Linked DNA regions of Oryctolagus cuniculus. The protein of the gene in region 1 binds, or shares a complex with, the protein of each later gene. Links are inferred from orthologs where the notes say so. Each region holds a gene or a part of one and is shown on either strand. Other genes may lie near its edges.

Region 1 (3,806 bases):
AAGGAATATAATTTTACCCCAAATGTAGAGTTTATGCATATTGCATATTGAAAATTAGCTACATAAGAAAGATTTAACAGAGTAAGCAGTGTTGTCCACATAAAAACTAAAATCTTTCTGCTTTTTCACTTTTCCTTATTGAGAAAGTAATGTGAAAATTATGTTAATGCTATAATTCATGTTTTTGTAAAAATATTTTCAGTTCTATACTTAAACTTTGAACCACATACATGTTTCTAAGATTATTGCTATTGAAATTAGGCATAACACTTTAAGTCTAGAAGTTTTCAGTATTTTATCTTTGCGATCTACCTGCATATTAATTTCTAGGCAGTTAATCTTTAAGTAATATATAAGGTCTCTGTATAAGGTGGAGGGAAACAATAACCAGAAGGAGAAGCAAGGGAGATTGGTATGGTTGAAGCTAGGAATTTCCTTAAAAGTCTTCTTTTATCCAAAATGTGTAAGACAGAAGTTGTGGACAATTTTGGAAATATTTTTGCCTTACTAATGCTCTGCTATAACTTTATTTCTTCCCCAGAGAACAAATTAAAAGAGTTAAAGACTCTGAAGATGTACCTATGGTCCTAGTAGGAAATAAATGTGATTTGCCTTCTAGAACAGTAGACACAAAACAAGCTCAGGACTTAGCAAGAAGTTATGGAATTCCTTTTATTGAAACATCTGCAAAGACAAGACAGGTAAGTAAAGCTGGAATCAATACAAATCCATTTTCTGCAAAATATTTCAATCATGAATCATACTTTACTAATAGATATTTTAGCATCATTTTAATGGTAGGAGAAGGAAATTAATGTGTTCATATGTGATAACATTACTATTCTGTCATTGATGTGATTTTCAGTTTTTCTCTCAGTGTGTTAAAATAGCATATAGAACGGTACCTTCTCTTGAGCAGACAGTGCTTCTTAATGCAGTGTTATGGTAGTACTTTCCGCTTTGATTTCTTTCCACAGTGAAATTTCCCTTGCTCTGAGCACATCTTACATTCAAGAAATGTGCGATTTCACGTTACATAAAGACAAAGAACAGGGGAACAGATTTTGAGTTTGTGCTTTTAAGAGTATCATGTCATGTGTTTCTAGATTGAATTTTGTTATATTTGAAGAAATTTTACTTTGGCATTTTTTTTCTCATTAAAGAGTATTTTGAAAGTGAATAGAAATTCCATTATTCATTTAGTGCATTGTTCTGGCAAAAATTAATCCCAGTTAGAACCTAAATTTTGTTAAAGAAATCATCATTTAAAAAAAATATTTTATTTATTTGCAAGGCAGAGTTAGAGAGAGAGATCTGCCATCCACTTGTTTACTAACCAAATGGCTGCAATGGCCAGTGCTAGGCCAGGCTGAAACTAGGACTTCATCCTGGTCTCCCATGTGGGTGTAGAAGCTCAGGGACTTGAGCCATCTTCCCACTGCTTCCCCAGACACATTAGCAAGGGAGCTGGATCAGAAGTGGAGCAGCTGGGACTCAAATCGGTGTCTAAATGGGATGCTAGTGTTGTAGGCAGCGGCTTTTAAACCGTTATGCCACAATGCTGGTTCCAGTCATCTTCATTTTAAAAAAACTTTTTCTCTAGGTAAAATAAAATAATTTTAGCTAATACTATCTACCCTGTTTGTATGAAATAAGAGTTTAACATTTAAAAGGAAAATTCTGGAAAGGAACACAAAGATGTGATAGAATACAATTTTCATGCATAGACTGTAAGAACTTGTACAATATATGCTCCATACATTTTTTTTGGAGTTTTTTCTGGTTATGCGTACCTGTGAGCCCACAAAGATGGTTTTGTAGAATTTAACTCTTGTGTTGCTAGGAATTTAAAAAATTGATAAACAACTCATTACATAGTTAAACTCAGAAAAGCAGGCATTCTAGATGTTTGTTGAATTTTGTAAAGGGATAAAAACATAAGTGTAAATTATTCAGCTGTTATTTATGAGTTACTTCTCCAGTGAGATCATAAGTAGCTCCTCCTGGTTTGGTACACTATTTGGGTGTTTGTTTTGGAATTAAAAACTGAATTTTTGCAGTTTTTCCATCATATACATATTTCTTCTATGGCAGATAAATTATTTAAGTAAAGACTTGGTATATTTCACTTCAGAGTAATTAGGATTTCATTCAAATTCCTTCCCAAGTTCCAAATTTTAGGGTGGTTTGTTTTTTTTTTTGTTTTGTTTTGTTTTGTTTTGTTTTGTTTTGTTTTTGGTCTTTCTCTAGTCTTTCTTACTAGTCTCAATTTTCTTCAGCAAAGAAGGTACTCAGAAAACATGATTATAATATTTATAGCTTTTTCTTCCAGTCCTTTTTTTGGTTTTGTTTTTAGTTTATTTATTTGAAAGGGAGCATTAGAGAGAGAACAGGCAGGGCAGGGGAGAGAGATCTTCTGCCTGCTGGTTTGCTCCCCAAGTGGCTACACTGGCTGAGGCTGAGCTACAGGCAGACCAAAGCTAGAAGCCTGGAACCCCATCTGGGTCTCCCACATGGGTTGGCAGGGGCCCAAGCAGTTGGGCCATCTTTAGCTGCTTTTCCAGCTGCATTCACAGGGAACTGGATGGGAAGTGGAGCAGCTGGGACTTGAACTGATGCTCATATGGGATGGTGGTGTCACAAGTTAGCAGCCTAACCAACTGCACCGTGACGTCAGCCCTCCGATATTTTTTTTATGAAAAAATTTCGGATTTAAAAAATTGAAAAGAATTTTTATTGAAAACATTAGCAAGCCATCTATACTGTTATTAATATTTTATTGTAGTTGTATTATTCATAGATTTTAAAAATTTCTTTTTAGTCTTTTGAACATTTTTGTTAGCATTTCACATAAAAAAGGTAAACAGTAGAGAAGTGCTAGTACATTACAGTGCGTGCAGATCAAAGGGCTTATTAAGATCTCAATTCTAAATCAATGGGCTTAGGTTGGATCCTGTGAGTCTGCATGTCCAGCAAACCCCAGGTGATGCTGGTTTTGGTCCATGGACCACAGTTTTAAGTAGAAAGGTAGTTAGATGATACTAAAAGGACTCTTCCTTGTTAGTACCACAGTGTAGCTCTTCACTCCTTTCCCTGTTGATTGATGGCTGCCGCAGAAGCACCAGGTAGCTGATTCTTGGTGTTTTGGTGTTTTGTTATTAATGCTGTAATGTTTGAAGCATTCAGCTATTCATAACTACTCAGAAAACTACCCTGGCTTGCTTGCCCTTTTTTTTTTTTTTTTTTTTTTTTTTTTTTTTTTTTTAACGATTTATTAGTTTATTTGAAATGCAGAGTTAGAGGCAGAGAGAGAGAGAGAGGTCTTCCATCCACTGGTTCACTCTGCAAATGGCTGCAGTGACTGGAGCTGGGCTGGTCTGAAGCCAGGAGCCAAGAGCTTTTTTTGAGTCCCCCATGTGGGTGCAGAGGCCCAAGCACTGGGCCATCCTCTACTGCTTTCCCAGGCCACAACAGAATGCTGGATCAGAAGTTCAGCAGCCAGGATGGCAGGCGGAGGCTTTACCTGCTACGGCACGGTGCTGGCCCCTACCCTGGCTTTCTTTTAAAATATATTTTTAGTTTTAGGCTGTTTTGAGGCCTTGATTTCTTTGTTGTTTTTTTTAAAGGAGTATGATATAGAAGTGGATTAAGTGAAGTTTGCTTTGTAGACATTAATGTGGACCATAATTAAAATGTAGAATGAAATAATATGAAAGAATATTTCTCTTTCTTAACCTAATGTCTAGCATATCTTAGATTTATATCCTACTTTATTGATGTATTTATGAAATTTATGTTGCTAAACC
Region 2 (4,326 bases), on another chromosome or scaffold:
TGAGCCCAAGGACCAGTGAGCCCTGACCTCAGCACCCAGCAGAAGTGCTGGCCGGGAGGGGTCGCGCTGCTTCCTGCTCCAGCCCCTCCCCCGCGGCGGCCTCTCAGAGGTGACCGCCCCCACCCCCCACTGCTACTTGGGAAGGGTCCAGAGATGTCCCAGAGGCCCAGCAAGCTCAGAAGCCGGGAAAGCAGTGGGCACAGGAAGGAGCCTGGACTCCCAGCCCCATCTCCCTGGGCTGCAGCTCCAGTTTCAGTTTCAGTTTCAGTTTGTTTCTCTGCAGCAGGTGCTCTGCACACCCCAGGGTCAAGGCTGAGGTCGCGGGAGGAGGGAAGGCAAACTCCAGGCCCGCTCATTCCAGCACACTGGAATCCTGCAGCAGGGAGGGGCCAGGCCAGGTGGCGCCACGGGCTGGACGGCTGGACCAGAGCTGTGTCCACGCAGCCTCTCCCACACCAGCTCCCCCTCCCCTCCAGGAGGCACCTGAGTGACAGCTAAGGTTGGCAGAGCCCAAAGAACCCCAGGGGGAGCCTCACTCCCCAGAGCAGACAAATAGGGGCGAGCTGTCTGTGGGAAACACAAAAGCAACAGAACCCACCGGAAGCCTGGCTGCGGTTAATGCACCTGCCGGCCGCTTTCAACCCACGTGGATGGCCGGGACCCCAGCCAGTGCTGCTGCCTCCCAGGGTCTGCACTAGCAGGAAGCTGGAACCAGGCAGGCTGACACAGGAAGTCTGCGTTCCCAGGGTGTCTCCACTTAGCGTTAAACACTCCTGTCTACTTCTTTTTATTTTAAAAATGGTGTCTTCCACGGAAGTTAAAGAGAACAGCACCCATCATCCAGTCAGCCACTTCCACTCAGCCTCATTCACTCACGTCTGTTTCCAGTCAGTTCCCCAGCTCAGAATGGTTCCAGCTCAGCTATACAGTTGACCAGCCCACGCCCTGCAGTCCTACATTTCCCTGTGTTTAAACAGAAGACAGAACAGCTGGGTCTCCCAGCGCCAGGAGGAACCAGAGCAACATCGAAGAGGCTGGCTCGTCTCGTGTTCCCGAGAGCTGCCTTCCTCCAAAGCCCAGGATTAACGAACTGTCCGTGCTGTTCAGTCATTCAGCCATTCTCCCCGGATTTTTGCAGAAGCAGAAAAACTTGGGGAATTTTGCCAAGTAAAATAAAAACTTAGGGTGAATTTTCTGGTGCAGACATCTTAGTGAAAATGTTGTGAGTGTGGAAATATTTAAAAGCTGCTAGAACTGATTTAAAAAAAAAAAACGTGGATAGTGTTGCAATGTCTGGAATTTATTATGAAACAGAATTTTCATAAATCTCTGCCAGACCAATCCTAACACTTAAGGCTTTGTTTCATTTTATTGCTTCAAGTGAACGCAGCTTTCAAAATTATAATTAATAAGTAATATTCTTCAACCAACTGTGGGCTGACAAATTAACTCTACTTGTTGAATACGAATATGCAAAGATCCATCTTGACAAAGTCACGGACAACTTTTTGCAAGTGTTCAAAACAGAAATGGTAGCATTCTAATGATTCATGACTGCGACCAACCTATAGGTAGGAATACATTTCTTCCCTTTTCTCAAAAACACACTCCTGCGGAACAGGCATTTAACCTGTCAGCTCAGACCCCGCAGCTCAGACCCCGCAGCCCACCCGGGGATGCAGCAATGAGGGCCCAAGTCTCTGGGTTCCTGCCACTTTTTCTTTCCTGCACATTCACTACCTTTCATTTCATGATTGTTCCTGGGAACAATTTTGCCACGTAAACGAGACCAGAGCAGGTCAACCATGCCACTGTCCCCAGACACTGCTGGAAGCTCTGCAGGATGGCCCGGCGCGCCACGCTGTTCCCAGCACTCCTGCGCTTGTGCTTGATCAAAATGCAAAACCCGTACTCTAAATCGCTCTGCTGCTGGGGTCCCGCCACGCTCCAGCCCGGCCCTGTGCCAAGCCTCTTCAGGATTTCCCAGCCGCACAGCAGGTCAGAAAGAGGGCCCGCTGGGGTGGTCAGGAGGTGAGTCAGTTGACACCACGGGGTGGGGATGGGGGGGGGGAGACCCGCAGCCAGGCCCCGGGGGCAGCACAGCCAGCCTCTGACAATGTCTGCTGTCCTGGTTTGACCTTAGCAGAGGGGCCTCGCCCCCTGCTCCTGCGCCCCTGCAAGGACCCAGCAACAGTTCCAACACGTGGCCTCCCACCCACAGCCGACACCTGAGGTCCTGCAGGTGCTGGAGGGGTGGACGGTGCCCCCAGCCCCGAGGATGCTCTCTGCGGGGCTCCAGGACTTCTGGTCACTACCCACACACGCCCCCCACCCCACCCGCACCCGCACTTACGATGGGTGCGCGCATCTTCCGTCCCGACGTGGACCCTCAGGTCAGGGTGGACTTGGCTTCACTCGCTGCAGAAACACCTGAGACACGGGGGAGCGGGGGCTCATGATGACACTACCGGGGAGCAGCGACCCGAGTCCCCCCGCCCTCCACCCCAACACCAGGGGCTCAAGGAGGGGAGCCCGCGCGAGGTTCGTCCCCGCGCCCCGCAGAAGCCACCACCTCCCTCTCCTCGCAGGTTCCTCGCTGGCCCCGCGCCCGCCCTGCGCTTGGCCCCGGGCGGACCACCCCTGGCGGGTGAGCGGGCGAGCAGGGCGCCGGCTCCGTGCGCGCCAGCGCGGCCGCCGCTTGCAGGCCGCCCGCCCGGCTTGTTTACCCAGCCCCGCCCGGCAGCGCTCCGGCACCTTGCGCGGCTCTTGCTGCGCCTCCCCTTTCCCTGGTGTCCCCGAAAGGAGCCGCCCCACCCACCTGCCGGACTCCGGAGGGAGGCAGAGCGGCCACCGCGGCGACGGACACCGGCTGAGTGGCCGCGGAGCCCCGGCCGGCGCGAGCTGGCCCGGCCCCTACCCCGGAGGCCGCTGGGGACAGCGGGCCGCCCGCGGCTCGCCCCGCCCTGCCCGCAGCGCCCCTCCCCTCCCCTCTCCGGCCCGGAGCCCAGGCCACACAGCAGGGGCATTCCCAGGGCGCTCTGCCCGCCTGCTGCGAGCGAGCGCCCGGCTGACGAATGGAAGGAGCCGGACACAGCAGCCCGCCATGCTGGCTGTCCCAGGGGCTTGAGAAACAGCAGGTGCAAGAAGATACTCCTGAACACACCCTGTTCTCCCGGAGCTGGGCCAGGAGAAACCGTGAAAACGACTCTTGTCTCTCAAGCCTCTCCCGCAGAATTTAATGGCTTCTTCTCTCCTTACTATTCTTGGTCCAGTTGAGTATAGAAGTCACTCCTGCTTCTTGGGGTCTTTCATTACCTGCTGGCGCTCCCAAGCCAAGGGCAATTTGTGTTACAGAAGTGGGTGGGGTCGGGCGTTTGGTGTAAGGGTTGAGACCCCCTACACACATGTCTGATTCCATCTGGGAGCGCCTGGGTTTGGATCCCAGCTTCCTGTTCAAGCGCACCCTGGGAGGCAGCAGATGATGGCTCAAGTCACCCGGTCCCTGCCACCCACGGGGGAGACCTGGGCTGAGTTCTCAGGGTGATAGGCCTGGGTGCCCTTCTTATTCCTGGAGCCTGCCCCACCCCCACCCACCCCCAGCTAAGAATTCAAAGCAGAGACCTACATACGGTGCCCCCCCGGGGGGAGGGCAGGGTGTACTTCCACGAGAGTGAACACACGTTCACGTGGGAATGTGGATCATCAGAGGGGTACGTGGCATGACTGTGCCAGAGTTGCCTGTGATGGGGCGGGGGCAGGGGCGGGGGCTGGGAAGGGTGGTCACCTCCCAAAGGCCCCCTCTAAACATCCGGGCGGATCCAGCTTCTACCTTCTCAGTACCACTAACGTGAGACTCGGAGAACCAAACGTTTACCACGTGAGCATTGGGGGACACCCAAACTCATACCCAGACCACAGCACCCCTACAAAACTGTATTAAACATAAAACCATTCAGAGGCAAAGGAGGATTCTAGCATTGAGGAAGTACTTTTATTTATTTTCTTCCATTTTTTCCATCTGGCTCTCTCACTGTGGGTGCAGGGGCCCCATTACTTGGGCCATCCTCTGCTGCTTTCCCAGGCTCATTAGCAGGGAGCTGGATCACAGTAGAACAGCTAGGACTCACGCCGGTGCTGATTTGGGAAGCCCACGTCACACAGGTGGTGGCTTAACCTGCTGGCCATGACACCAGCCCCAGGAAGTACTTATAACTACTGGGTCTGAAGCCACCGGGTAGCCCCAAACCTTCCGGCAATGAGTAGATGAACGCTGCTCGCTGGCCTGACTCCACAGTACAACAGCTCTCCTCCCCCTCCACACTCCTG

The links.
Region 2: the proteins of KRAS (region 1) and PLAAT3 are in contact, whole or in part, in a crystal structure (PDB 7C41), measured with the Homo sapiens proteins. The link is inferred for Oryctolagus cuniculus from reciprocal best matches to the Homo sapiens genes KRAS and PLAAT3. Residues at the interface, in NP_001356715.1 of Homo sapiens: Ala11, Gly13, Lys16, Ser17, Tyr32, Asp33, Pro34, Thr35, Ile36, Thr58, Ala59, Gly60, Gln61, Asn85, Asn86, Lys88, Asp92, Tyr96, Lys117; in NP_001121675.1 of Homo sapiens: Leu65, Tyr66, Asp67, Val68, Ala69, Gly70, Ser71, Asp72, Lys73, Tyr74.

The regions. Positions count from the first base shown.
Region 1 is NC_091440.1:122,525,300-122,529,105, reverse strand, and holds part of KRAS (GTPase KRas), read left to right. Parts: intron 1-541; coding exon 542-701; intron 702-3,806. UniProt on the Homo sapiens protein: Ras proteins bind GDP/GTP and possess intrinsic GTPase activity. Plays an important role in the regulation of cell proliferation.
Region 2 is NC_091432.1:7,561,590-7,565,915, reverse strand, and holds the start of PLAAT3 (phospholipase A and acyltransferase 3), read right to left. Parts: upstream 2,957-4,326; 5' UTR 2,819-2,956; intron 2,680-2,818; exon of another isoform or gene 2,573-2,679; intron 2,431-2,572; 5' UTR 2,369-2,430; coding exon 2,354-2,368; intron 1-2,353. UniProt on the Homo sapiens protein: Exhibits both phospholipase A1/2 and acyltransferase activities. Shows phospholipase A1 (PLA1) and A2 (PLA2) activity, catalyzing the calcium-independent release of fatty acids from the sn-1 or sn-2 position of glycerophospholipids.